7 linked regions of the Rattus norvegicus genome follow. The protein of the gene in region 6 purifies or fractionates together with the protein of the main gene of each other region. This does not show direct contact. Links are inferred from orthologs where the notes say so. Each region holds a gene or a part of one and is shown on either strand. Other genes may lie near its edges. The genes, in order: Dyrk1a, Atxn3, Foxm1, Smarca4, Sp1, Crebbp and Srebf2.

Region 1 (3,500 bases), on a different chromosome or scaffold from region 6:
CTGACAGAGATCCTCTATTCATGTGAGCCACTCATTTACTGAGAGGCTGTGCTGTACTAGCAGGAAAAACATCCAAGAAAACTCAAACACAGATATATCTGTTCATCTTTTTGACTGGACATGAAAAACATGAAGAGTTGGTAGGATATTTTCCCAATAAATGAAATGAAACTTTTAAATGGACCACTGTCATTAAATATTCCAGAAAATATTCTCTGAAGAAATGAGTGTAAGGGAAGGAGAGGAAAGACTCACAGATTTCAATTAAGACAAGAAGGAACTGAGCTCTGACACCCCCTGGTACGATGACCATAAACGCAATCACGAACACACCATGAACCTTCACCCCAGCCTGAGCCTCAAGGCAGGCACACATTCATTAATATACAAATAAACAGGAGTTAAATAAAATGTAGTTTGTACAACTTTTTGTGCCACCTAAAATAAGTTACACTCTATGGCAGGTGCTTTTTAAAAGTTAAATCTCAAGGTCACCACAATATATTTTATCTACCAACTGTCTTAAAATTAAAAATTGTACCATCAAAAAAGGAATCTTAAATTTAGAGTACAGGTCAAGCAACACTTCTGTGTCTAAAGTACTTCTGTTGCTGGTGCCATCCAAAACAGAGCCCTCAGTTTTGTTCTGCGTCACTATGAATTTCCCATATCCAGGGACATAAGGGAACATGAACACTCAAAACAGAAGGCACAGCATAGGAAGGCGAGGAGGTGTGTCCAAAGACCACTATAAACTCAGGCGTCCTTTGAAGCCCCTTCAACAGAACTGGGCTTGCTCTACACTAAATGAGACCGCCCGTGTGATGAGGAAAGCTTTTCAGACACATCCAGTATCATCAGGATGGTCCCCACAGTTGTCAGGGAGGACACCAGAGAGGCAAAGAGGAATGGCTCAAGCTCCTTCCCGGTCAGGGATGCGGAAACCCACCAATGACACAGCGTAAAGTGTCTGAAGCTCAGTCACATAGGCCTGGGAGCACAAAGCCGTGGACGAAACCATGAGTCTAATGGCTTCTTTTAATGATGCCCATTACTTGAAACCCAGTTTTGCCTATGACACTGCACTTTCCACTAGAGCCTTACTTATCAGCTTCAATGTGGTTACGACATGCTCTGCACTCAGTATTAACAATGCTCAGTGATCTATTACAGCAGCTAATTATTAAAATGGCCACAAAATTTGTGGTAAATTGGGCCCTTCAACATCTGCTATGGAAACAATGCATTTGTGTGTAGTGCAGTTTTTATTCATTTACACTATTTGGAAGTGATTACGACAGTACAATGAAACTAAACTTTGGGAACAATGGAAGTCATTAGTTTAGGTATCACTATTATAAAAGGGAGGCAAAGATATAAATTTACATGATGAAACAGCCCATAATGTCAGCCTAACAGGCAGTCCACACACACTTCTCAACAATGCCCTAATCTATAAATAAGAAAGAATCCTTGTGGGGTTGGGGATTTAGCTCAGTGGTAGAGCACTTGCCTAGCAAGCTCAAGGCCCTGGGTTCAGTCCTCAGCTCCAGAAAAAAAAAAGAAAGAAAGAAAGAAAAAAACTTCTGAAAGCACACATGGTGCTGCCCGTGCCTACAGGTCATCAGCTCTGCTGACAGCCCATTCTCCATCAGACAGCAGAAGACACTGACAGTTTAGATGTTCTAGAGTGTGTGTGTGTGTGTGTGTGTGTGTGTGTGTGTGTGTGTGTGTGTGAGAGAGAGAGAGAGAGAGAGAGAGAGAGAGAGAGAGAGAGAGAGAGAGAGAAAGTGCAGGTAACTGTGGAGGCAAGAAGGCATCGAACCCTCCAGAGCCGAGTCACATGCAGCTGTGAGCTATGTCACATAAGTACTGTAAACTTGGTGGCAGTTTTTCTTACTAGTGAATAAAACAATAGTGTTTTATCAGCACTGATATAATAGATTTGATTTTTAAAACCCAACAGCTGTGGGATGGAGAGATGAGATGGCTCAGTAGGTGACAGTGAATGTTTTTCTCCCACAGCACCCGAGGGTTTGAGTCCAAGAACCTCTCTACAACTTCAGCTCAAGGGACTGGATGCCTTCAGCCTCTGAAGACATTTGTACACAGGTGTATGTACACACACAGAAATAAATCTTTAAAAAGTATGAAGGATAGAATTAGAAGATGTTTTATCCATAAACCGATTGGCTCTAAAGTTTCCAGTCTTCATTCCTTGGCGGACAGCTGTTTCCTGTGGGAGACGGCATGACACTGGCATACACACTGAGACAGGACTGCACAGGAGCAGGGTCAGACCCAGACAGAGTGCCCCAAGACCATCCATGCTTACGACTGAAAGGAGGTTTTCTCTGACTGAAGGCTGAAGTCACCTTCCTGTGGGGAGGCCAGAGGAAAAGCTCAGGGGCGATAGGGGGACTATGCTGTGACGTGCTCCCTATGCTACAAGAATCCACTTCTCACTAAGTCTGGGAGGATCGCAGTTCAGACATATGTTCTAAAAAGTCTTAGGCACTCACAGTACACTACCAAGTCACCCGACAGCGGCTCCCTAAACAGACACATTAGAGCAAACAATGGCACCTGTGAGTTGTGACTTAGGAAACAACCAACACAGCAGACACTGCTGTCTGTGGCTTCACACTGTAAAGCACCCCAGAGGCCCACTCACTGCCCGCCTTTACCTATGTAGTACTTCATCTCAGTGTCATGTTTGTTCATGAGCTCAAGCAGCCGCACTTCTATCTGCGCTTGATTCAGAAACGCCTTCTTGTTCTTGATGATTTTAATGGCGACCCATTCTTGTTCCACTCTGTCATATGCTTTCACAACCTACAAAACAAAACAAGTCATCATCAGTTTCACTAACAACTTTACACCTTACATTCTTCCATCCTGCAATCTACCTCACTCTTGCTGCTTCTCCTCAAGAGACCATCTACTTTGTCACAAGGTCCTAACCCCATTCTTTGAAACGAGCTCCTGTACCCTCCTCACAGTGTTTCTGACCATGCACAGAACAACGAGATGGCAACCGCTTTCTTCCCTCAAAAATAAAATGACTGCTGATGAAGGGGAAGTTTGACTTTCACTCTTTCTTACTTAAATCAACATATGTGTGTATAGGTAATGTGTATATGCATGTATATGTGTATGCATCTGTGTAATGTATGTCTGTATATGTGCTTTTTACACACATACACACACTTTTACTTTTTAAATAAAACAACTTACTCAACTATTGGGGTTTTTTATTTTTATTATTGAGACAGAGTCTCACTGTATGACCCTGGACGCCCTAGAACTCAGTATATAGACCAGGCTGGAGTCAAAGTCTCATATCTTTCTGCCTTTGTCTCTCTAGTTCCGGGTTTAAAAGTAGTACTGCCACTTCTAGCTCAACTATTTTTTAATGTAAAAAATTTTTTATTTAGTCCTAAGAATAAAAAAAAGGGTTCTGATGCTTCTCAGAAAGCAGATTATTTCCTAATTTTAAA
Region 2 (4,122 bases), on a different chromosome or scaffold from region 6:
AAGTCAAATGCCTTCCTCAGTTGCGCTCCACCTTATTTTGTGAGATAGTCTTTCACTGAGCCTAGAACTCACTGATTTCAGCTAGACTGGCTGGTCAGCAACCAGAAACCCACCTGGCTCGGTTCCCTGCCTCAAGTACTGGGGATACAAACACACACTGGGATCTGAACTCTGGTTTTCATGCTTACACAGCAAGCACTATTCAGGTGAGGCATATCCTTGGCCTGAGTAAGTCTTTGTTAGCCTAGCATTTTGGATATACTGATTCAGTAGTTACCTTCACTGAAATCTGCTCAAATGAGGAACAATCAATATTGTCAAGAAGGTATTGAGGGGGGTTGGGGATTTAGCTCAGTGGTAGAGTGCTTGCCTAGCAAGTGCATGGCCCTGGTTCGGTCCCCAGCTCCAAAAAAAAAAAGAAAAAAGAAAAAGAAAAAGAAAAAAAAAAAAAAAGAAGGTATTGAGGGAGATGGAGAGGTGGCTCAGCAGTTAAGAGTACAGGCTGGCTTTCCAGATGACCTCGGTTCAACTCCTAACACCCACACAGCTACTCACAAGCCTGTTACTCCAGTTCCAGGGAATCTTCTGGCTTTAGTGGGCAACAGACACACAGTGCACAGACATACACAACAGTAAACACCAATACAATTTTTTTGTTTGTTTTCCATGACAGTTTCTCTGTATAGAGCTGGCTGTTCTAAAACTCTCTCTGTAGACTAGGCTGGCCTTGAACTCACTAGAGATTCCCCTGCCTCTACCTTCCAAGTGTGAGGTTAAAGGCCTACCACCCCTGCCAGCAAAAAAATACATATTTTTTAGTGTATTGTTTAAGAGCCCTATGCTGAGCTTCAATCCCAGGATGGTAGGTGGCAGAGGTACCTATTTAACATATCAAAGCGGACCTGAACTCCAGGTTCTCCCAGCATCCCTTAGTCCCTACTTATACCAGGGTATAGCTGGTATACCTACTCTCTACCCTGAACTCTCCAGACCATGGCCTAGCTGCCCTTCCCCTAGTGGTCCTTGCCTATGTAATTCATGTATTTTGGTAACCCAACCTCTTTGGTATACTTCTGCACCTTTGGCTCCTGGCTGCTGTATTTCCTTTCCCTCTCCCCATGTGGTTCAGGGTCATGACAACTCTGGGGTCTCCCAAATGTGTCTGCCCCAGGCTATGCTCTCCCACATCTCTTTAATAAACTTTCTCCTTCACCATACCTAGAAGTCATGTCCTTTCCATTTCTTCCTTCATTCACCCTAAAGATGACCCAGAGAGTAAAGGAGCTTGCTGCCAAAGCCTCAGACACCTGGAATCCACACCAAGTTGGAAAGAGAGGACAGACTTTATCAAGTCATCCTTGACCTCCACACAAGCACATGCATTTTTCTTTTAAGAATACATGGCAGGAGTCTCACAAAACAGTGTATAAAGTATAACATGTTTAAAATGGATTTTATCCCAAAGAGTATAACATGTTTAAAATGGACTTTATCCCAAAGCCTTTGGAAAATTACAAAAGAGTGGGGGAGGGGGTGGCGCACTCAGAGTCAGGGCACATGGTCATAATCCCAGCCAGCACTCAGGAGGCAGAGACAGTAGGATGGAGAGTTTGGGGCCAGCTTGGGCTACAAGAAATCTTGTCACAAACTAACTTGTTCCAGTTCCAAAAACACTATGAAAGGTCTTCTTAAGAACACTTTCATTTAACAACTTCCTTAGATTTACAGCATTTTTGTCTTTCTTTTGTCGTGCATGGACTTTAAACGTTGTGAATGAATGCTCCTTTACAAATGATAAAAACAAAGGCCTTTGCTCCAACTGTAATAATAGTCTCAACTAGCAACCCTCTCCAAACCTAAAATGATTATGAAACACGGAATCATGCCAAAGTTGTCCGAGGAACACCCAAATGACTTGATAATTGTATGCGAGCATAGACCAGTTTCTCGAGATGTCACAATACTGTAAAGCGTAGTCACTTAGGAATTAAGGTGAGGAAGAGACTAGCCAAATCACACAGTAGAAAGATTCTAATCTATCCATAATACCTAAAAACAAAGCTGGCCTCCTGGTCCGGAAAAATGGGAGAGCAGCCCAAACATCCCGTAATAAAAACTCTTATGACGACTTCCCTCCGGGATTTCCTACTTTACTTCCCAAGTGTCAGGCCCTTCAATGGGAGAGCCACGGTCACAACTGCAGAAGGACGTGGGATAGATCACCAAGATCTAAATGCATGGGACATTCCATCATAGAACTGAGTTGAGAGAGAAAGTTGGTTCTGCCAGAGGATAGGTCAGGGGGAGTGGGTGGAGTTGGGAAGGGTCCGTCAGGTGTGGAAAGGCGTCTCGCTAGACTAGACCACAGGAGAGAAGATAGAAGAAACCCGAAAAGGCGTGGCAAGTGAACAAGAAACGCCCGCGCTAATCCTCCGGATGAAGCCCCCCGAAATGCCCAGGTTACCCGCCCGGTCTTTTAGGGTGAGGGTGCCGGAGACGCATGCGGGAGGCTTCATGAACGGTGCCATGGGGGGAAGGCAGGAAGCACCCCTCACCCAGCCAAGTCGGGATGGGGGCGCTCGGGCCCCGCCTGAGTTCCTGAAGCGGCGACGCTGCTCCCCACGCCCGCCGCCGAGCCGCGGACGGCTCCCCACCGAACGCCCACACTCACTTTCTCGTGGAAGATGGACTCCATGTTTATTTGTCTGGAGCCAACGGCCCCGGCGCGGAGCAGCCCCCTCCAGCAGCTCCGCCCCCGGCCCCACCCCTCCGCCCCGGCCCGCCCCGCCCTACCCACGTGCCTCCCGCCACCCAATCACTACTGCGGGCGCACGTCACGCGGCACGCGAGCCGGGGAGCACGGGACACGTGACCTGGGCGGCGCTGGTCCTCCCGCCGCGTGTGTGATGCTGCGGCGCCGCCTGCTGTGCGGAGGAACTTCTCTACGCTAGACAATGTTGTGATTCTAGGGTTCTAGATGAGAATCCTCGCAGCCAGGTTTTAGGTTCTTTTTTTTTTCTCCATTTCCACCTTTTTTGGTACTTTCTGCTCAACTACGTGTAATACCTCCTCTCCCACTGAAAACCTCATTCCAAAAAAGGCATTCTCCCAATACCTAGTATTTGTGTGAAAACTATAGCTAGTATTTAGTTAGGGCTGACTTATAATAGTCCACTTCTAAGTGCGATTTAATGCGGCATTTTTGATGTGTGTGTATGTTGTAATATTATTATACAAATGAAGAAATGTAGGCACTAAGAAATTAGAATAGCACAGTGTCCAACACAGTTGCCTGTCGGAATGAGTATCAGGTCCCAGGATAAATGTACAATATCTGAAGGAGGAAGCGTCGATGGGGAAGTGAAAAGTCCAGTAAAATGTTGAGTGGCTCGCGCCGGGGGTGGGGGAGGGATTGACAAAGATTAAGTGTTATTTGGGCGCGGATCTTGTGTGGTGGAACCATTTTAGGTTCTTCAAAGTCAGCAAAGAAACTGGGTACAAAGACTCATTCTCCTAATCCTTGCACCTGAAGGTAGGAGGAGTATGTTGTGTTGGACTGTGGCAGCCTGTAACCAGGGTTTCTAGGACGATCCTGCCCGCCACCTCCCAACCAAAAACAAAACAAAACAAACAAAAAACCTACAGGAGGTTACAGATTTTCAAAACTAGAGACATGGGGTCAAATTAGAATTTTAGAAGATCACTGGGGAACAGAATACTTGAAAGGCATTTTGGGAGAAATGAGGAGACAATGGTGGTCAGAACTCCAGTAGTGATTTGAGAATGGAGAGAGACCAATTTGAAGTTTCAGGAAGCAGACTCAGAAGACTTTGGTGAGGAACTGGGGTGAAAGGGGTTATTGTTAGGAAAGATTTGTGGGTGTCTGCTGTAGGTACCACCTAAAGAAGGAGTAATACTCCAACCAGAAATACTGTGCAGAATGAGCAGGGTCTTGGGAAGGGAAGACAAGGGTTTAATTTGGGGAATAATGAGTTTAAATGTCTGTGCAACATAAGGTACTTTTGTGAGTAATAGATGTCTGGCCTGGAGTTTACAGAAGCTGTTTTGAGCTGTGAGGTGAGATTCATTGCAATTTAGAAGGTAACTGGCTATGAGGTTAAG
Region 3 (3,500 bases), on a different chromosome or scaffold from region 6:
TACCACAAGCTCGGGCCACAGGTAGCAGCGCTTCTGCCATATTTGATCCTCAGATTGGCATGTTCTGTCTCTGAGATAGGATCTTGCTGGGTAACAGACTGGCTTTGAACTCTATCTTCCTGCTTCACCTTCCTGCGTTCCAGGCATATGGCATGCACCACTGTGTCCAGGCACACAGATGGCTTTTCCTGCTGCTGCTGCTGCTCTCGCACCTCTAGTGTTTCTCTGGGGACTGTGCAGTGGAGTCCTCTCCTCTCTCCTGATGCCGAAGGGCATGATGCACTTCTGAAAAACACAGGTTCTTGGCTGCCCAGCTTAGCCTGCCTCATTTTCCACACAGGTGATGAGGCAAGAGTTACAGGTGTTTGTTGTTCTGGCCACTGATTGGGGGGTAGGGGATGGGGGAGTTATGAATCTTTATCCGCTGAGGTTAGCTCTGCAGTGTGGCATACCAGGAAGGGAGTGCCAACAGGTGACATTGCTAGGACCTGAACACGATCTTTATTAAACATAGTGGGAGATACCCTGGCCTTTCCCAACTCCAAGAGCAATGTTTCCAAAGCCAACTGAATTGATAGCTGCTTATCTGTCGCTTTCAGAACTCTATTCGTCACAACCTTTCTCTCCATGACATGTTTGTTCGAGAAACATCTGCCAATGGCAAGGTCTCCTTCTGGACCATTCACCCAAGTGCTAATCGCTACTTGACATTGGACCAAGTGTTTAAGGTGAGTCCTTGTTTCATCTGGAGAGGCAGTTGGTGATTACTGCGCCTTCTGTAAAGGAGTGGTGTTCCTTCTGATGTTCTCTGACTGAGGGAGAGCTAGAAGCCAGTTACCCAGTTAATAACTTGCATGATTCCCTTAACCGAGGCCTGCTGACAGATACGAAGTGATACTCCTTGTACTAGACCAGAGAGTAAAGAAAACTGTTCTGGTCTAAATAGAGGAGTCTTTCTCTAATTCCCTGTAAGTAGACACTTGTTACAATGCAGCTTCCAGGTCTCTTGCTTGGGGTTCTGAACGGAGAATCTGGGACAGGTCTAGTAATTTGGTGTGGCAGAGCAGGGAGTCTATGTGCAAGTGCACAAACCAGGCATGTGTGGAGGCCAGAGGAAGACCTTGGGTGTCCTTCTCTATCACTCTGTGTCCTTCGGGTGACTCTCTTGTGGAACCTGGAGCTATACTGGGGTCAGCAAACCCCTTCAATCCGCCTATCTCCACCCCCACTCCTCATAGCCCTGGGGTTATAGATGCATGCAAGGCCAGCTCTGGCCTCTTTTTAATGTAGGTCCTGGGGTCTGAGCTGAGATCCTTTTGCTTGGTACAACAAGCTCTCTTCCCACTGACTCGTCTCTCCAGCTTTGTAGTTTGTATTTTCCACCTTGCTCCAAAGAAGCCCTTCTTTAAGTCTAGAGGCCAGAAATGGAGCCATAAGAACATGTTTTCAGAAAAAAAGTTGTTGTTTTGGGGACTTCTAGGTACCCATAAGGATGCTATTGCTGTACTGTTTGTTCTTCTGGAAGGGAATGTTTCTCCATGGTGTCCCTTGGCACCCATCAAATAGGTTTCTTCCTAGTCTGGGTAGATTGACCACAGTTGTGGTAACTTCATTTCATTTCTCTCCCTCAATGCCTGGCCGCCACCAGCCACTGGAACCAGGGTCTCCACAATCGCCCGAGCACTTGGAATCAGTAAGATTCTTTTCCTCTGGCTCGGGGCTTGGCCTTCTTTCCCTTCACTGCTCAGCATGGCTTTAGTGGGCAGAGAAGCTGTGACATGGGGAGGGGACTATGTTTGACCCTGTGGCTGCTAACCCTGAACACAGTACCACAAAGGTGTGCTGAGCAGAGCAAAGTGGGCACTGCAAGACCCACCATTGCAAGGGCAGATGCAAGGCATGGGCCCTGCCGCAGGGGCAGCAGCCTGTTCTCTCAGCGTACGTGGCTTGTGTTTGTCTCTCAGATGGCTAAGTGCATATTTCCCTGGGGGTGGTGAGTACCATGGGTCAGGTGTAGCACTGTCCTGCCCTCCCTCGTGTCTGCTGTTGTCCACCTTTCCCCTAAGCATGGCTTGATAGATGTACACCCGCATCCATCACTCAAACCAGCTGGTCTTTCTGGGTTTTTAGACCAGAAAGGTTTCTGCATCAGCTCAGGTTGGTGGGGTTCTGCTTCTCTCCTTACCTTACTAGTCCAGGTTTCTTTCTCTTCCAATAAGCAGCAGCAGAAACGACCCAATCCTGAGCTCCGTAGAAATGTGACCATCAAAACTGAACTCCCACTAGGCGCACGTGAGTATGAGAGTGGGTCTCAGACGCGCCCAATCCTGGTTCTGGGACCTATCTTCAGGTTATGTCTCCAACTCAAAGGGAGTTTGAGTCCATAGTTGAGTAGTGCTCCTGGAGTGGGAAGTAGTAGACCCCTAGCATTGCTACCTCTGATCTCTCCTGCTTCCTCCTAGGGCGAAAGATGAAGCCACTGCTCCCACGGGTTAGCTCATACCTGGTGCCCATCCAGTTCCCGGTGAACCAGTCCCTGGTGTTACAGCCCTCGGTGAAGGTTCCCTTGCCTCTGGCAGCATCTCTTATGAGCTCAGAGCTTGCCCGTCATAGCAAGCGAGTCCGCATTGCACCCAAGGTGCTGCTATCCAACGAAGGGATAGCCCCACTTCCTGCCACAGAACCCATGAAGGAGGAGAAACCCCTGCTTGGAGAAGGGCTATTGCCTTTGCTTCCTATTCAGTCCATTAAGGAAGAAGTAATTCAGCCTGGGGAGGACATACCACACTTAGAGAGGCCTATCAAAGTGGAGAGCCCTCCCTTGGAAGAGTGGCCCTCTCCGTGTGCATCAGTGAAAGAGGAACTGTCCAACTCCTGGGAAGATTCTTCCTGCTCTCCTACCCCAAAGCCCAAGAAGTCCTATTGTGGGCTTAAGTCCCCAACACGGTGTGTCTCAGAAATGCTGGTGACAAAGCGGAGAGAGAAGAGAGAGGTGAGCCGATCTCGGAGGAAGCAGCACCTTCAGCCACCCTGTCTAGATGAGCCTGAACTCTTCTTCTCAGAGGACTCCAGCACATTTCGGCCAGCCATGGAGATCCTGGCAGAGTCTTCAGAGCCTGCACCACAGCTCAGCTGCCCTCAGGAGGAGGGAGGGCCCTTCAAGACCCCCATCAAGGAGACATTGCCTGTCTCCTCCACTCCTAGCAAGTCTGTGCTCTCTAGAGACCCTGAGTCCTGGAGGCTCACACCCCCAGCCAAAGTTGGGGGGTTAGATTTCAGCCCAGTACGAACCCCCCAGGGTGCCTTTGGCCCTCTGCCTGACTCGCTGGGGCTTATGGAGCTGAATACCACACCTCTGAAAAGTGTTCCCCTCTTCGACTCACCCCGGGAGCTCCTTAACTCAGAAGCCTTTGACCTTGCCTCTGATCCCTTTAGCAGTTCTCCACCACCACATTTGGAAGCCAAGCCAGGCTCCCCCGAGCTGCAGGTCCCCAGCCTTT
Region 4 (4,300 bases), on a different chromosome or scaffold from region 6:
CATCTGCTACCAATATGATGACCTGCAATTCAATCTCCAGGACACACGTGGTAGGAGAAAATCCACTCCTGAAAGTTGTCCTCTGACCTCCATATATCACACAAAATTAAACAAAAATTTTTAAGTTCAAAAAAAAAAAAAAAAAAAAAAAACCACCTTTCACATCCAGCCACAAACAAACCACCAAACCAGGACCCCAGACTTCACCAGTGACTTCATCACTTTCAAAGCAGTGACATCTGGGGCTAGAAGAGCAATGGCCTGGAAAGTTCAAGGCCAAACAGCAGCAACAAATATTTATTGCTTTGGATCTTGTACCAATCGCCCAAGTTCATCCTCCCCAGGACCCTCCTGTCCTGTCTCACTACTGCCTGCTCCAACTGCACTGTTGCAGACCAGACAGACAGAGCAACAGTTCTGCAGGCACCATTCCATTCTCAGCGTGTGGGGTGGGGAGACACATCTTCCCTAATTGTAAATGAAGGGTCCTCCTCCATGCAGCTTCTAGACTTATGCCCACCACTGCTCCCTCAGGCAACCACTCTGTCCTGTCACATGATAGGTTGTGAGGCTAAATGATTGGGGAGAATATATCATGTCTAACATGCAGAAGGCCATGGATTCCAGGCCCAACAACACCCAAAATGAACAAACAACAACAAAAATATCCCACATTCATAAAAATAAAAAGATCAAAACCATGCTTGGGTACTGGCTTGTGGTAGAACATTTCCCTAGCATGTACAGGATCAACTTTGATCAGCACCACAAAAATTCAACACACTTAGAGCTTAGGCAGGAGAAACGAATCAACAGGTAAAGTACCCCACAGAAAACTGACCACCTGAGTTCAATCCCAGGAACCCACATGATAGAGGGGAGAACTGACCCCTGAAAGTTGTTCTCTGACCTCCACACACAAATAAATAAGGAACTGCAACACTTTAATGAATCCCAGCACTCCCGGAGGCGGAGGCAGAGGCAGAGAGATCTCTGAGTTCAGCTAGAAGCCAGCCTGGTCTACAAAGCAAGTACCAGGAGAGTCAGGGCTACACAGAGAAACCCTGACTCATAAAATAAACAAATAAAATCTATTTAATTAAAAAACAAAACAAAACACAAATGGGCCCAACGGCATGGCTAAGCAAGAGTTTAATCCCAGCACTCAGAGGGCAGAGGCAGGCAGAGCTGTGTGAGTTTGAGGCCAGCCTGATAACAGAGTTTCAGGACAACCAAAGCTACACAGTGAGACCAGAAAGGGGGAGGGGAGGAGGTCAAAACAAACCAAGTACTTCTTTATGAACCAATACTCATGCAGGCCAAGGAGTAATGGTTCCATTACAGCCCATTCCCCTACTAAGACATGTAACACAAAGTAGGAATTCAACTATCTGCTGGACCAGTCAATAACAGTACAGGAAGCCTGGCTGAATATGCTATCCCAGCACTTGGGAGGTGGATGGAGGCAGGAAGATGAGGATGAGCAATTCAAGCCCAGCCTGGTCTACATAAGAAGGTGGAGGGCAGCCTTGGTTATAAGATCCTGTCTTCAAAATCAGAATGATGATGATGATGCAGGAGCTATTTTTTCCCAATCCTATCAGTGAAAGTGATTCCCTTGTACAAAGGAGGAAACCAAGAGGTTTGGAGAGATTTAGCGATTTCGCCTAAGGCCACACAGCTAGCTGACAGACAACGCTGGGCATCAAACTCAAAGCCTGTCTGTCAATTCAAACAAAAAATTTGTTTCCAGTTCCTGAGGAGTCACTGGAGGTAAAGAGGATCAAGAAGATGCCCCTCCGACCCGCACAAAACAATTGCCTTCGAGGTTTTAAAATAAAAAGCCCTATCTGAAAAACTGGGAAGAGCCAAGAGACTCAAAAGAAAAACAATGCGGCCGTGAGCAAACGTTCCCAGGCATCTTTCACTTTTTAGGCAAACATTTTGAAGCCACGGAAGAAATTTAAAATCTGCAATAATGAAATTTATCAAAAAGTAAAAAAAAAAAAAAAGTGAGGTCTGAGGACCGAAGAGGGCTCATGACTGTGCCCAAGCTACACAGGGCATCAATATCTGAGGTAAAATGTTGCTCCCGACGCCCGACCACAGGGCATTAGAATCGCACAAACGAGGCCAGAGAAGCCCAAGACACCTAGCCACTGTTCAAAGTTAAGATTCACAGAAATTAAAGTGGGGGGGACCTGGATCTCTGGAACGCCAAAAGGAAGGAGCTTTGTCCCAAGACCCCACGAGAACGCGCGCGCGGCCTTCACACAGGCCAGAGTCACCCGCCTCGCCGGCCACAGAGCCTGGAAGCAGCCGCGGTCTCGCTGCACTGCGGCCTGAGCAGCGCGCGCAAGGCTTCTTGACCCTCAGGCGCCGCCGTACCCCGACCCCGCTCTGGTCGCCCAGCTGCCCCCTCCCCCTCCCGGCGCCTCGGCTTCATTCAAACCGTCTTCCCCAAGCCCCGGGAGTCTCGTTCCGCCCGGGAGTCTCCATTCCTTACCTGGAGGTACCGGCGCCGTAACCTTCCTGGCGCCGCCCCCAACCCTCCACGAGGGGTCGGGGACAGAGTGGGCGTCTCGCTTCTCCTCACGAAACAAAGAAGCCGTCGCCGCCGCTGCCAAGCTAGTGGGAAAGCCTCGCGCGCGTGCCCGCTCGGCTTCGGCTGGCCGCCCCCCCCAGCACACACGCAGCCCGCGCGCCCGCTATGCGCGCCCCCGCCTCCCTTTCTACCCAGTCCACTTCCCCTGCTTCCGCTGCCCGTCCGGCCTCGTGCGCGCGCCAGCCCACCCTTCCGCTCTCTGTGCGCATGCTCAGCCATTCGTTGTGCGCATGCGCACTGGTCCTTTGAGGTAGTGAGAAGATGGGCGGGTCCAGAGGCCGCACGAGATCCTGGTGCACCGCCCATATTGGGGGGCTCTGGGCGGCTCTGCGCAAGCGCACACTTATGTTCAAGACACGAAATTGGGCCTCAAGCCGAAGGGCATGCGCAGAGGTGGCGGCACTGCGGCGACGCTTAGATGTTGGGGGAGGGTACTGGGTCGTCCAGATGGGAGATAGTAATGATGAAAGGGAAGTTCTTAGGCTCGGAAATGAGCACCCTGGGAGGAAAGTGAAGCCGAGAGGTGGCCAGACTGCCCAAGGACGGGACAGAACCCACGCGGGGGTAAGGGCAGGCCTGGGAAACGCTTTGATCCTGGCTCTGGCACGGCCCTGCCTGCTCTGCAAGGCTCTGTCCTGGCCACATTTCCTGCAGAACCTGTTGAGGCCCAGTAATTAGCTTTCCAAATATTTATTGAGCTGCCATCGGCTACTAGCCATCCTCTGGTTCATAAACCAGATGAATAAGTAAAAGCACAGGGTGTGAGGTAGAAACAGCAATGGTCACAATTTTCCTTATGATTTCGAAGAAAGCCATTAGCTTTGGAGAAATGAGCGTATAATTCTGTCCAAATGTGGAGATTCCAGGCCTCTGGTTGGTTTTAAAAGTATTTGGTGGTGGTTGGGGATTTAGCTCAGTGGTAGAGCGCTTGCTAGGTCCTGGGTTCGGTCCCCAGCTCCAAAAAAAAAAAAAGAAAAAAAAGTATTTGGTGGTAGCGGGGCAGGGTTCTGGAGGCAGAAGCAGGTGGATCTCTGGGGGGTTTTGTTTGTTTGTTTGTTTGTTTAAGATTTATTCATTTATTATGTATAAGTACACTGTAGCTGTCTTCAGATACACCAGAAGAGGGCATCGGATCTCTTTACAGATGGTTGTGAGGCACCATGTGGTTGCTGGGAATTGAACTCAGGACCTCTGGAAGAGCAGTCGGGGCTCTTAACCACTGAGCCATCTCTCCAGCCCCCAAGACCAAGTTTCTTTAAGACCTGGCACTTGCTCTCAAGACTAGACTGGCCTCGAACTCAGAGATCTTCCTTCTTCCTTCCTGAGTGCTGCATGAATGTACCAATCCAGCTTGGTCTTCTACATAGTAAGGTTTCAGGGCAGCCATGGATACAAAGTGAGACTTTTAAACAAAGAAACAAAAAGCAGTTTTCTGTCACAAAGTAGAACAAAGAATGTTTCAGGCCATTAAATAGCTGGCAGTGATCCCCCTGCCACTGCCTCCAAAATGCTAGGAAAACAGACCCAAGCTATCAACACTGGCAAACACATGGTATTTTTGGTTGGTTGGGGGGGTTTTTTGCTTTTGTTTTTCAGGACAGAGTTTGTCTGTGTTGCTTTGGCTGACCTGGAACTGGATCTTGAGACCAGGATGAACTCAAACTGAGACCTACCTGCCTCTGCCCCCCAAGTCTG
Region 5 (3,482 bases), on a different chromosome or scaffold from region 6:
TAGGAACAAAAGGTGTGATGATGGCTAAGGACAGGTAACGTTTACTTCAACATTAATAACATGTGATTTGGGGAAAGTCCCTTGAAATATTTCCTGAGTCTTGATAACAGTATTAAGTCTGCACAGAAAGGACCAAATGGAATAAACTAATGTTAGTATTTCAGGCTAACAACACCGTAAACTTAACAAGAACCTAGTTTAGATGGAATTTACGTAACATGTATAATAACACTATAAGCTATTTGTAGCCAAGATAAAGAAGTTAGAATAAGGAATCCACTATAGATTTGGATGTTGATTTCATTTTCAAACACAAAAATAGTTTCTTTTTTTAGAAAGTGCACTAGGATATCCCCCCACCCCATAATTGTTAACCAATTTAACACAAGCAGAGAACTGACCTTAGGAACATACCCAAGTTTTATGACCAATTTCTAGATAATGGACCTGAAAGGCATTTCGATCTGAATTTATTTTCCAACAATTTCAAATATAAGTTCTCATCTGCATGTAGATATATACAGGCACAAACACATTCACACGCAGTCATACACAAACATTTTAGATTCTCTATCAGATCAGGGTAATTTTTTATTGCAGGTCTCTTTAAATATTGGCTAACAGAAAACCTATCCCCAACCTAATAGATTCCACACATACACTCAACCACTTTCATACTTCCTCACAGTGAAAAGCTCTCTGACAAGATAGCAGAAAGTCAAGAGAGACAATGCTTTAATGGCTGGGCCTTGAGGACAATTCTGGTTGCATTTAAGTCTCAGTGTAAAATGCACTGAGTTTCCCTGCCGATATAATTTTTGGATCAGTCTCTTCTGGAATCAGGCCATAGAGAAAGCAGGATAATTTCTCCCAATTTCTCCTAAAATCCACAGTGGTAAGACAAGATTTCTTTTTGTTCTGGGCTATCGTTCCCATGATTGTGTGCTTCCCTTTCCCTTAGGAACCACCCAAGTACATGTAAGGAAGAGTTAAGGGGGACTTTTTTTTTTTTTTTAAAAGAACCACTTTTGCCACTGGCACAAGTTTTGCACTCTACAGAATGGAAAGTCCAAACAGATTCCCTGGCTGATGCTCCTAAACATTAAAACATTAATACGAAGGAACTACAGAAATGTTCAAAAGAGGAAGTGTACTTCCTTTCAGAGTGTGAACTCAGAAGGCCATTCTGTGAGGCTGAGAGTTATCTGGAAGACAATGATACTGAAATCCGAATAATTCCACTAACTTCTGAACCCAAGACTATTGAGTTATTTCCTTTTCTGAGAACATCTTTTTCATACTGAAAGCTGCTGCCTATATTTGAGCATTTTGACAGTGTATCTCCTTCAAAGGGCCTCTTACACAATTCCACAGAAATACTTCTGACTTTTGATGTGTAGAACAACTAATAAAGGGAGATGGCTTTGACTCTCCAGCACTAATGTGCCTGCGTCAGTAGTATTTGAACACTCCCTCCATAGCTACACTTCAAGGCTTTTCCACTCCGTTGCTGGAACTAACGTCTTTAAAATATTAACAGAAGTGCCTAATCCAGGGATCACTGTCAAAAACAACACAGGAAATGATCATGTAAGAAAAGGGTGTGAGACAAAAAGGACTGAGTCAGGAAAGAGTGCAAGGAGCTGATCCCAAATAAAGTAACAAAATTAAGGAAGAAGACACATTATATATGTATATATGAACTGAAGCAGAGCGTATGAATGCTTACTCTGGTGGGATGCCAGGACAACATTTATAGGAAAGCTTGATGTGTCATGATAAGGCTCAGCCATTGAGAAATAAGGCAATATAAAAAAAAAGAAAAAGAAAAAAAGACCAAGGTATTTTGGTCACAGAATGGTCTTTTTCCTCCTCCCAGCCAGCCCCTGTGAAAGCATCTCTATATATTTTTTAATATATATATATATAATATAGAATCTGTTTTTGTTAAAAAGTATTTCAATGATCATATATATTTATCAAGGCATGATGGCTTTAGGAAAGGGGGGGATCCATCATGGGAGAGCTAAGAGGGAAAAACAGGAAGAGGAGGCTGGGTAAGAAGGGTAAGAAGAACCTGGGATGAGATAAATGCTGATCAAAAAGTGGCACCAACAGAATTTTCACTAATATTCTCCATTTTCAAGGAGTCACCAGTGACATAGATGGGTGCCACGATCCCATCTCTTCTTTTGTACCATCTCCCAATTCTTCCTATCACCAAGCACATGAATGCCTCATGGCTCTCTCTTCCACATGTCTCTTGGACCCATGCTACCTTGCATCCCAGGCTTGGTGGGTATTGGCCCATATGTCTCTGGCCCTGGGCGTCTAATCTCAGAAACCATTGCCACTGATATTAATGGACTGCAGCTCTGTCACCTGCATGACGTTGATGCCACTGTTGGCAAGACGGGCAATACCCTCTGGACAGATGGCCTCCATGGCTACCATATTGGTGGTAATAAGGGCTGAAGGAGTGGCAGTGCCACTGCCTTCTGAACCTGCCCCACTGTCCAGGGGCAATGTGCCCACGCTCAAGGCTACACCTGGGCCTCCCTTTTTGTTCTGGTGGGTCTTGATATGCTTTGACAGATGATCGCTCCTCATGAAACGCTTAGGGCACTCAGGGCAGGCAAATTTCTTCTCTCCTAGATTTAAAGAAAAAAAGAAAAAAGATAACTTAGCCAAAAAAAAAAAAAAAAACCCAGCCAAAACAAAGTTGAGGTTGATGTATGTCTTTCAAAATCCCTCTTGAAACTGAGCTCCTTATTAAAAACCTTCCAGACTACTTCAAATATTCTTGGGGACATATTCAGTTTCACATATACGTTGTTCAGGGATTTCAGTTAGCTTCATGGGCATATTACATCTTTTCTTATCTATTGCTTTCCCTTTTCCCTCGGGTCTTACTCACCTGTATGTGTACGTTTATGTCTCTGAAGCTCATCCGAACGAGTAAAGCGCTTCCCACAGTATGACCAATTACACATGAATGGCCTCTCCCCTGTATGCCAGCGCAAGTGTGCACGGAGATGTGAGGTTTTGCCATATACTTTGCCGCATCCTTGGATATGACAAATGTGCTGTTTCTTTTTGCCAGGATCTCCAGAGCCCCTAAGAATGAGAACATAATGATTTATTACTCTGGAGATAGAAATGAAGGAACCAAGAAGTGTAAAGATTGAAATAAGTACACTGTGGCTGTCTTCAGACACACCAGAAGAGGGCATCAGATCCCATTACAGATGGTTGTGAGCCACCATGTGGTTGCTGGGAATTGAACTCAGGACCTCTGAAAGAGCAGCCAGTGCTCTTAACCACTGAGCCATCTCTCCAGCCTCTGCTTGTTTGTCTTTGAGAAAGAGTCTCTCTGTGTACACCAGGCTGTCCTGGAACTTAGAGATTCACCTGCCTCTGCTTGCATAATGCTAGGTAGGATTAAAGGTGTGTGTGCTGTCATACCTGTCACTAAGACTTAC
Region 6 (3,500 bases):
GTCCCTTTTTGACCTCAGCTAAGTAGTAAAAGTAGTAGCAGTAGCTTGTAAGACAAGCTTACACATGTTCTACCCTAGTGGAGGTATTGAATAGGAAAGATCAGTTGGGTGTAGTTACTCTTTGGTGCTCCCATTTACACCATCCCATGTCTTCTGAAAATTCATATAAATGAGCAGGTTTTCCCAAAGCAAAGGACTGGGTACCGAACATGCAGGATGGAGCATAGCACTCCTGCCAGTGGAATCCTGGGAGTGGTAGAGAAACTCCTCTGTTGCTTAGATTGTGAATTAACATCCAGGAGAAGTAACCGGACATACAAGTGCCCTGGCCAGGCTGGGAGGATTTCATCCTTAGCCCTCTGGAGGTAGTAGCCTATGGCCCAGGTGCATATGAGGTCTGTGGAACCCCATAGCCGAGGAAATGGGTGTTAGTCTAATAGCTTTATATGTGGTTGCAGGGCAGTCAGGGTGACAGCAAGAATGCCAAGAAAAAGAACAACAAGAAGACCAACAAAAACAAAAGCAGCATTAGCCGCGCCAACAAGAAGAAGCCCAGCATGCCCAATGTTTCCAACGACCTGTCGCAGAAGCTGTATGCTACCATGGAGAAGCACAAGGAGGTAGTGCATAGGCTGGTGGGGGTTCTGAGGGTATTCAGTGCCCAGAGAAACAACAGGCACCTGCCTGCGAGGTTGAGCTTTTCTGTATAAGTCTGGGACAGGAGAAGGTGGAACAATACTTGTTAATATATTGTTTGGCTTGTTATCAGTTAAATTCCATCCCAGGAAACCAGAGCCTCAAGCAGTCCCTAGGTTTGGTTATCCTCCTGTTCCATAGGAAGATGTGGCCTTGCACTGGCACACACTGCTTCTCTGTGGGGATAATACAGCTCCTCCTTTCAGGTCTTCTTTGTGATCCACCTGCATGCTGGGCCTGTCATCAGCACTCAGCCCCCCATCGTGGACCCTGATCCCCTGCTTAGCTGTGACCTCATGGACGGGCGGGATGCCTTCCTCACCCTGGCCAGAGACAAGCACTGGGAGTTCTCTTCCTTACGCCGCTCCAAATGGTCCACTCTGTGCATGCTGGTGGAGCTGCACACACAGGGCCAGGACCGCTTTGTCTATACCTGCAACGAGTGCAAACACCATGTAGAAACACGCTGGCACTGCACTGTGTGTGAGGTAAGCCCTTCCACCTCTCTCCTGGCCTTCCTCCATATGCAACATTGTTCCCTGCAGCATCGGGAATGGATGCAGGTGTTGGCCTCTGTGACCTACATTGTCTGTGCTAACCCTCCCAGGGTGAGGAGTGGCACCCTTGTAATCCCTTTCTTAATCTCTGCTCTTGTCCACCACAGCTACAGGCTATATGCCGAGGCAGCCTGACTGGAAAGAGGCTATGCAAAACTTTAGCTCTACAGGGATTCTGGTGTATTTATCTCTTTCTAGCTTTGCTAAGTGATTAAGGATGCCTTTCACCCTGCTGACAGGTTGGCACTTTTGATTAGGTCCAATGGCAGGATCGCAGAATGTGGTTAGAAGACTTGATGTAAGCCACTGGCAGTTTCACTGCCTCCTGCCCTGTGGGTAGCTTGACTTCACCCTTGTAGAGCTTGTCTTGGACAGGTCAAAGGTTGCTTAGCCCTTCTTCTTTGCTTACCTTTTCAGTTCCTGCCCCCTGTTGTCATCGGCCATATCCCCTCTTATCCTTCTCTATTGTCCGTTTTATAGACAGATAGACTGGCAGGCAGGCAGACAGACAGACACGCACACGCACACGCACAAACACACCCACACCCCTACCCTCTCAATCCTCTTTCTGCTTTACTGATTTTAGGATTTTGTATGTGCTTTCTGTGAGCACAATTTCTAGGCCCAGCCATAGGACGTCATCTTCAAATGTGTATTCTGTGGGTGGGTGTGAGTGTGTTATTTGTAAGTAAACATATTTGTGTATATGAATACAGAGACCAGTGGAGAATTACTCTATAGCTCTTTACCTACCTCATTTCCTTAAGAAAAGAAATGCCACTGAATCTTGAGCTAGGCTGATTGACTGACCAGCGATCCCAGCAGTCCTCTTCGTTCCTCCTTGTCTTGTGCTGCCATTAAAGCTCACAGCCATACCCAGATTTTTGTTTGAATGCTGAGGATTGAGACTCAGGTCCTCTTCCCCACTGAACTATCTCCTAAGCTCCTATCCTTTGGATTTAATGCTTCCTTTTTAGTTTCTACGTTGAAGTATCTCTCAGCCACCAGGGCTTCTGTTGTTGAGGAAGGATCATTTTGATGATGCCTCTCTCCGAGGGATAGTGTCTCACAGTCCACTAACAGTGCTTGGGGGAAATGACCCTAGTGTTCTTAATCCTTGCTGTTAAGTCTAAAGCACATGAAATAAAGAAGGAAGGTAATCGTTAATAACTGGATCAATCATTAATTGGTCCTACAATATGCCCCATGCCTAAGGGTGTCTGCTCGTGCTGTGCCTGTGCTAATGCGGTTTGTTCCTCTTGTCCACAGGACTATGACCTTTGTATCAATTGCTACAACACAAAGAGCCACACCCATAAGATGGTGAAGTGGGGGCTAGGCCTAGATGATGAGGGCAGCAGTCAGGGTGAGCCACAGTCCAAGAGCCCCCAGGAATCCCGGCGTCTCAGCATCCAACGCTGCATCCAGTCCCTGGTGCATGCCTGCCAGTGTCGCAATGCCAACTGCTCGCTGCCATCTTGCCAGAAGATGAAGCGAGTCGTGCAGCACACCAAGGGCTGCAAGCGCAAGACTAATGGAGGCTGCCCAGTGTGTAAGCAGCTCATTGCTCTTTGCTGCTACCACGCCAAACACTGCCAAGAAAATAAATGCCCTGTGCCCTTCTGCCTCAACATCAAACACAAGCTCCGCCAGCAGCAGATCCAGCATCGCCTGCAGCAGGCTCAGCTCATGCGCCGGCGAATGGCAACCATGAACACCCGCAATGTGCCTCAGCAGAGTTTGCCTTCTCCTACCTCAGCACCACCCGGGACTCCTACACAGCAGCCCAGCACACCCCAAACACCACAGCCCCCAGCCCAGCCTCAGCCTTCACCTGTAAACATGTCACCAGCTGGCTTCCCCAGTGTAGCCCGGACTCAGCCCCCCACAATAGTGTCTGCTGGGAAGCCTACCAACCAGGTGCCAGCTCCCCCACCCCCTGCCCAGCCCCCACCTGCAGCAGTGGAAGCAGCCAGGCAAATTGAACGTGAGGCCCAGCAGCAGCAGCACCTGTACCGAGCAAACATCAACAATGGCATGCCCCCAGGGCGTGCAGGTATGGGGACCCCAGGAAGCCAGATGGCTCCTGTGGGCCTGAATGTGCCCCGTCCCAACCAAGTCAGTGGGCCTGTCATGTCTAGCATGCCACCTGGGCAGTGGCAGCAGGCACCCATCCCTCAGCAGCAGCCGATGCCAGGCATGCCCAGGCCTGTAATGTCCATGCAGGCCCAGGCAGCGGTGGCTGGG
Region 7 (4,300 bases), on a different chromosome or scaffold from region 6:
GTGCTCATTTGCATAGTCTGTGCAGTAGTAGGTATCAAACCCAGGACTTTACAAACCCCAGGCAAGCGCCCTGCCATGGAACTATATTCCTAATCATTTATTTTAGTCAAAAGAAACAAGAATTTTAGCTCTCTGACCAAGAAGAGACCCCGCTGGCTGTGGACTCACAGTTCTTTGACCTCCTGAAGGAACCGTGAGATTTCTAGGCTGTGAGTTACAAAAGTGCACTCATACTACTCTCTTCCTCATCTCAGATGCCCATGGGCTGCTCACTCTGCTCTAATCCAATCAGGGAAACTATACCTAATATTTAATATCCTGCCCCAGGTACTCAGACAGGCATTCCACAAATAGTGCGCATTCCCACTGTTCCAAGTGCTGTTCTAGGTGCAAAGAACTGTGGGAAGGAAATGAAAGGTGGTTTGCCCCACCTCCATCCCCACCCCTCAGTAACCTGCTCAGGAGCACAGAGGATTCAGCGACACTTCCATCTAGACCGCTGGCCTTTGCTTTGTTCAACTGGTTCTTCTTGTCTTTTAAGGTCAGTGGCTATCTCCTCAGTGTGATCTTGCAGGTAAACTAGCCTTCAAGGAAGCTTCCTCACTGACTTTCACTTACTGCCCTGTGCACATGCAACCTTACGTGGTCCTAAAATGCCATCCATATTTTACAACTGAGATACCAAAGCCGGCTCTTGGAGCAAGTAAACACTTCCCAAACTAGGCAGAGGCCTAAGAAACTACTGACCTACTGCTGTGGTTTCTAGAGTATACATTTTATTTATACATAGACTTAGCAATCTATAAGGTTAATATTAACCACTAGGTAATTTAATATGTTGAAAATTTAGACAAATAAAGGTCATTATAAAATATAAGTACAAAAAAAAAAACAACATGAATTTTTTTCTTGTGCCCCTGCTGGTAGGCAGTTTTAGACCTACTTCTTACTGACTAGGGAACTCTGGGTAAGCTAATGAACAGTGGGGAGATGGCCAGTCTGACAGCGTTATCTGATAGGGCTGTGACACGAATTGAAAAGCTGTGTGAGTGCTTAACACTGTGTCTTGTACCTGAGTGCTCAAAACACATTAGCCACTCCCGTGTTCCAAGCAGTAACCCCTCCCACTTGTTAACCTATCTTTGTGTTTAGCAATACTTGGTGGAAGAATCTGTGGTTAAGTGGAACTTCAGGGTTGGGCATTTAGCTCAGTGGTAGAGTGCTTGCCTAGCAAGCGCAAGGCCCTGGGTTCGGTCCCCAGCTCCTAAAAAAAGAAAAGAAAAGAAAAAAAAAAAAGTGGAACTTCAATTACAGGGTCTTGTCACACTGGATGATCAAAATGAGAAGTAAGGGCGAACCAAGTGGGAAAAATGTTACAAAAGCAAAACAGGAACACAGCAAACACCTTCTTCAAACAACTGTTGTCACTTTCTGCCTACACAAGAGAACCTTCTACCTCTTTCTTCACCTGCAAAGTGAGGATGTAGCCATCATATATGCCTGCAAGGTTCTAGATTCTAGATGTAGAAACACTCCATAACTGAGTCATTGCTTAGGAGGAGTTCTGGACTCTCTAAAGTAAGTGACCTTAGACAATACCTCCTGCAAATTTGAGTGATACCTATTCCGTGGGATTGTGGGAGGAATAAATGACTGAGAACTTCAGAAGAGCCCGACTACTGAGAATTACTAGCCTGTTCTTTGGACTTCAAATTCTCAAAGGTGGAGTGGAAAGAAACTAATACTGGCTCAGAAACAGAAAGAACTGGGTTTTGTTAAGCAGCATGATGACCGCGGGCAAGTCTGGGACCCTCTCCAAACCTTCTTTCCCGTGGCTGAAAAGTGAGAGAATTGTAAGAGAGGATCCCTGGGCTCCTACCAGTTCTTCCACTTCGCTGTTAAGGCCGCCGAAACAAAGGCCACCCGCTCCCTAGTCAGTACCCGAGGGGCCACAACTCAAAATTCTTGCAGCTCAACTCCCTTTGCAGTGCGACAGAAGGAGCGCCTGGGTCTCCATGCAAGGCCGCCGCACTCTGCGGTCTCTGTCCACTCCATCAGTAACTTGCTTTTGCAGCTGATGCCCAAAGTTTTCCAGAGCGCCAGGAGACCCGGCTGTCAGTCAATCCCGAAAAGAGCGGGGGCGTGGGGAGCCGAGCCCGGAGCGCAGTCCGGGAAATCCCGAAGCCGCTCCAGTGACCAGGGAGGGAGTGACAGGTGCGACGCCGGACGCCGGCGAAGACCGGACAAACCAGAGAGCGTGTGGGCGCGCGAGGGAGGCGGCCGCCTCGCTTTCTTCTCTGGCAGTATTCGCGACGCCCCCAACCCCGCTTCAGGCCCCGCGGCGCCAGGACTCCTCAGCCACCTGGAGCCCTGAGTCACGACCCGGGCTCAGACTCTGGAGCAAGAAGAACTGGGAACCTCACCGGCAGCCCGGTCCGCGGGTTCCTTCCCGCGCACGCCGGGGCGATCGCGGGGTGGGCGATCGCGGGGTGGGCGCACGCGCACCCGCGAGCGCCGCCGTAACCCCTTCCTCCCCGCGCGCCCCCCACACTCCCACCCAGCCGCCACTCACCGTCGATGTCCCCGAGAGTCAGCTCATCGCCCAGCTCCGTGAGGGTCTCCATGGTCTCCAGACCGCCCAGCTCGCTGTTCTCATCCATCGCCCAGTTCGGCGCAGAGTCCCCCGTGAGGTCCAGCTCAGGGAGACGCGGAGGCGGTACCGCCGCCACCGCCCATGACACCCGACAGCCCCCACCTGGTACCGCCTCACCGCCCGGTGCCAACCGCCGCCATGTTTGAGCTGCGCCCCGACTCCACGGAAGGGGCGGGGCAGAATTCCCCCGCCCCGGGCCGCGCCCACTGCAGCCCCGCCCCGAGCCTCCGCGCCCCCATGTTTGTTGTCAATGGGACCAGGCCTGCATTAGCCAATCGGAGCGCGAAGCGGCTCATGGGGTGATGGCGCGTCATCGATCAGCAGCTCAGATTTGCATAGCGAGACTCCGCCCCTCACGGCTTCCAAGCGCCAGCGGAGAGTAGCCTCCCGGTCCTCGTCCCAGCCTTCCTCTGGTTTAAAGGAGACGCTACTTTTCCGTTGGATCAGTTCCAGGAGCAACTTTGCCAAGAGTCCGGAAGTAGAAGGGTTAAACACAATGCTGTCCAGCGCTACCTCCTACTACCGCCCCCTTTACTCTGCGAGCACATTACGTCATCTCCCCAGTTGTCTCTTTCCCTCCCCCTAGCCCTGGGTAGAATCTTGGTACCCCAACATTCAGGGATAGACTATCCAGACCTTAAGTCACACTTGTCCCATCCGAGACTTAACACGTTCTTGAATCGCCTGAGTGTTGTGAACATTTTACAACTGGCCCTCAATCTTGGAAAACCTCATAAACCTCCAGGCCTTCAGACGAGGTCATTTGCCAAAGCCCACCAATGGGCTCTTGAGGTGAGACCCCACTCCTGCAGTCACCTCACTACATCTTACAGGTGTCGGTCACACTGGACACAAAGGTGCACACTTCCCAGAATGTATCCGAGGAAACAAGGATTAGCGTCCAAAGAAATGCTAGTAAAGTTAAGTACATGTATTCATCACAAAGTTCTCTGTAACGGGAAAACAGCAGCACAGTAAGGCATCAGGTACACAAATTACCTCCAAACTGTGGAATATCAGGGCATCATTAAAAAAAATGATGGAATGGGCATTTTAAAAAGGACTTAAGTGTGTATTGACAGGAAAAAAGGTTTTCATGACAAAATAGGAAGACCTTCCTGTGCGTGAGGCAGTTGTTTTAGGGGTCAGACCTAAAGAAAGCACAGGCTCTGTGGGGAAACTTGCGGATTCAATAATCTACCTTGTGCTCCTGGGCTGGCTAAGCAACTGTTTGTTGATAAGCCTGTTTTGTCATCTTCAAAACAGCATAGGACCACAGTTATAACTTTCACATTTATTTGATGTCTGTGGCAAGCAAACAGCTCTTAACTTCTGGGTTTAAGCTCAGAGTGAAGGTTTCTCCAGTTACACTGTTGCTGCTCTGAAAGGGAAAGACATCCTGGTAGTTAGGAGCCTAGGAATACCACCAAGTCACACTGCACAACAAGCCTCACATGAGAGATTTATTGGGGGAGACACGAGAAAGCAGCTATCTCTGATAGGGGACAAGAAACAACCCAAAACATACTAATGATGGCTGTTGGTTGGTAGCAGGGCAGATGCCACCAACACTTAAGTTCAGAGGGTTTGATTGTCCAAGAAAAGCCCAGAAAAGGGAAGCTAGGTCAAAATACCTATTCATTTAAA

Evidence for each region.
Region 1: the proteins of Crebbp (region 6) and Dyrk1a purify together in Homo sapiens (affinity purification with mass spectrometry; 4 studies listed by BioGRID and IntAct, with this or other methods). This does not show direct contact. The link is inferred for Rattus norvegicus from reciprocal best matches to the Homo sapiens genes CREBBP and DYRK1A.
Region 2: the proteins of Crebbp (region 6) and Atxn3 purify together in Homo sapiens (affinity purification with western blotting; 3 studies listed by BioGRID). This does not show direct contact. The link is inferred for Rattus norvegicus from reciprocal best matches to the Homo sapiens genes CREBBP and ATXN3.
Region 3: the proteins of Crebbp (region 6) and Foxm1 purify together in Homo sapiens (affinity purification with western blotting; 5 studies listed by BioGRID, with this or other methods). This does not show direct contact. The link is inferred for Rattus norvegicus from reciprocal best matches to the Homo sapiens genes CREBBP and FOXM1.
Region 4: the proteins of Crebbp (region 6) and Smarca4 purify together in Homo sapiens (affinity purification with western blotting; 3 studies listed by BioGRID, with this or other methods). This does not show direct contact. The link is inferred for Rattus norvegicus from reciprocal best matches to the Homo sapiens genes CREBBP and SMARCA4.
Region 5: the proteins of Crebbp (region 6) and Sp1 purify together in Homo sapiens (affinity purification with western blotting; 5 studies listed by BioGRID, with this or other methods). This does not show direct contact. The link is inferred for Rattus norvegicus from reciprocal best matches to the Homo sapiens genes CREBBP and SP1.
Region 7: the proteins of Crebbp (region 6) and Srebf2 purify together in Homo sapiens (affinity purification with western blotting; 3 studies listed by BioGRID and IntAct, with this or other methods). This does not show direct contact. The link is inferred for Rattus norvegicus from reciprocal best matches to the Homo sapiens genes CREBBP and SREBF2.

What each region holds. Positions count from the first base shown.
Region 1 is NC_086029.1:47,451,802-47,455,301, reverse strand, and holds part of Dyrk1a (dual specificity tyrosine-phosphorylation-regulated kinase 1A), read right to left. Parts: intron 2,836-3,500; coding exon 2,688-2,835; intron 1-2,687. UniProt on the Homo sapiens protein: Dual-specificity kinase which possesses both serine/threonine and tyrosine kinase activities. Exhibits a substrate preference for proline at position P+1 and arginine at position P-3.
Region 2 is NC_086024.1:126,869,982-126,874,103, forward strand, and holds the start of Atxn3 (ataxin-3), read right to left. Parts: upstream 2,801-4,122; 5' UTR 2,696-2,800; coding exon 2,672-2,695; exon of another isoform or gene 2,556-2,671; intron 2,522-2,555; exon of another isoform or gene 2,050-2,521; intron 2,023-2,049; exon of another isoform or gene 1,219-2,022; intron 1-1,218. UniProt on the Homo sapiens protein: Deubiquitinating enzyme involved in protein homeostasis maintenance, transcription, cytoskeleton regulation, myogenesis and degradation of misfolded chaperone substrates.
Region 3 is NC_086022.1:163,332,128-163,335,627, forward strand, and holds part of Foxm1 (forkhead box protein M1), read left to right. Parts: coding exon of another isoform or gene 1-21; intron 22-599; coding exon 600-728; intron 729-1,648; coding exon 1,649-1,693; intron 1,694-2,219; coding exon of another isoform or gene 2,220-2,222; coding exon 2,223-2,292; intron 2,293-2,462; coding exon 2,463-3,500. UniProt on the Homo sapiens protein: Transcription factor regulating the expression of cell cycle genes essential for DNA replication and mitosis. Plays a role in the control of cell proliferation. Also plays a role in DNA break repair, participating in the DNA damage checkpoint response.
Region 4 is NC_086026.1:28,442,319-28,446,618, reverse strand, and holds the start of Smarca4 (transcription activator BRG1), read right to left. Parts: upstream 2,801-4,300; 5' UTR 2,507-2,800; intron 2,368-2,506; exon of another isoform or gene 2,202-2,367; intron 2,105-2,201; exon of another isoform or gene 1-2,104. UniProt on the Homo sapiens protein: ATPase involved in transcriptional activation and repression of select genes by chromatin remodeling (alteration of DNA-nucleosome topology).
Region 5 is NC_086025.1:135,444,050-135,447,531, reverse strand, and holds part of Sp1 (transcription factor Sp1), read right to left. Parts: intron 3,118-3,482; coding exon 2,918-3,117; intron 2,652-2,917; coding exon 2,338-2,651; 3' UTR 1-2,337. UniProt on the Homo sapiens protein: Transcription factor that can activate or repress transcription in response to physiological and pathological stimuli.
Region 6 is NC_086028.1:11,960,840-11,964,339, forward strand, and holds part of Crebbp (histone lysine acetyltransferase CREBBP), read left to right. Parts: intron 1-458; coding exon 459-620; intron 621-902; coding exon 903-1,184; intron 1,185-2,522; coding exon 2,523-3,500. UniProt on the Homo sapiens protein: Acetylates histones, giving a specific tag for transcriptional activation. Mediates acetylation of histone H3 at 'Lys-18' and 'Lys-27' (H3K18ac and H3K27ac, respectively).
Region 7 is NC_086025.1:115,541,807-115,546,106, reverse strand, and holds the start of Srebf2 (sterol regulatory element-binding protein 2), read right to left. Parts: upstream 2,801-4,300; 5' UTR 2,661-2,800; coding exon 2,573-2,660; intron 1-2,572.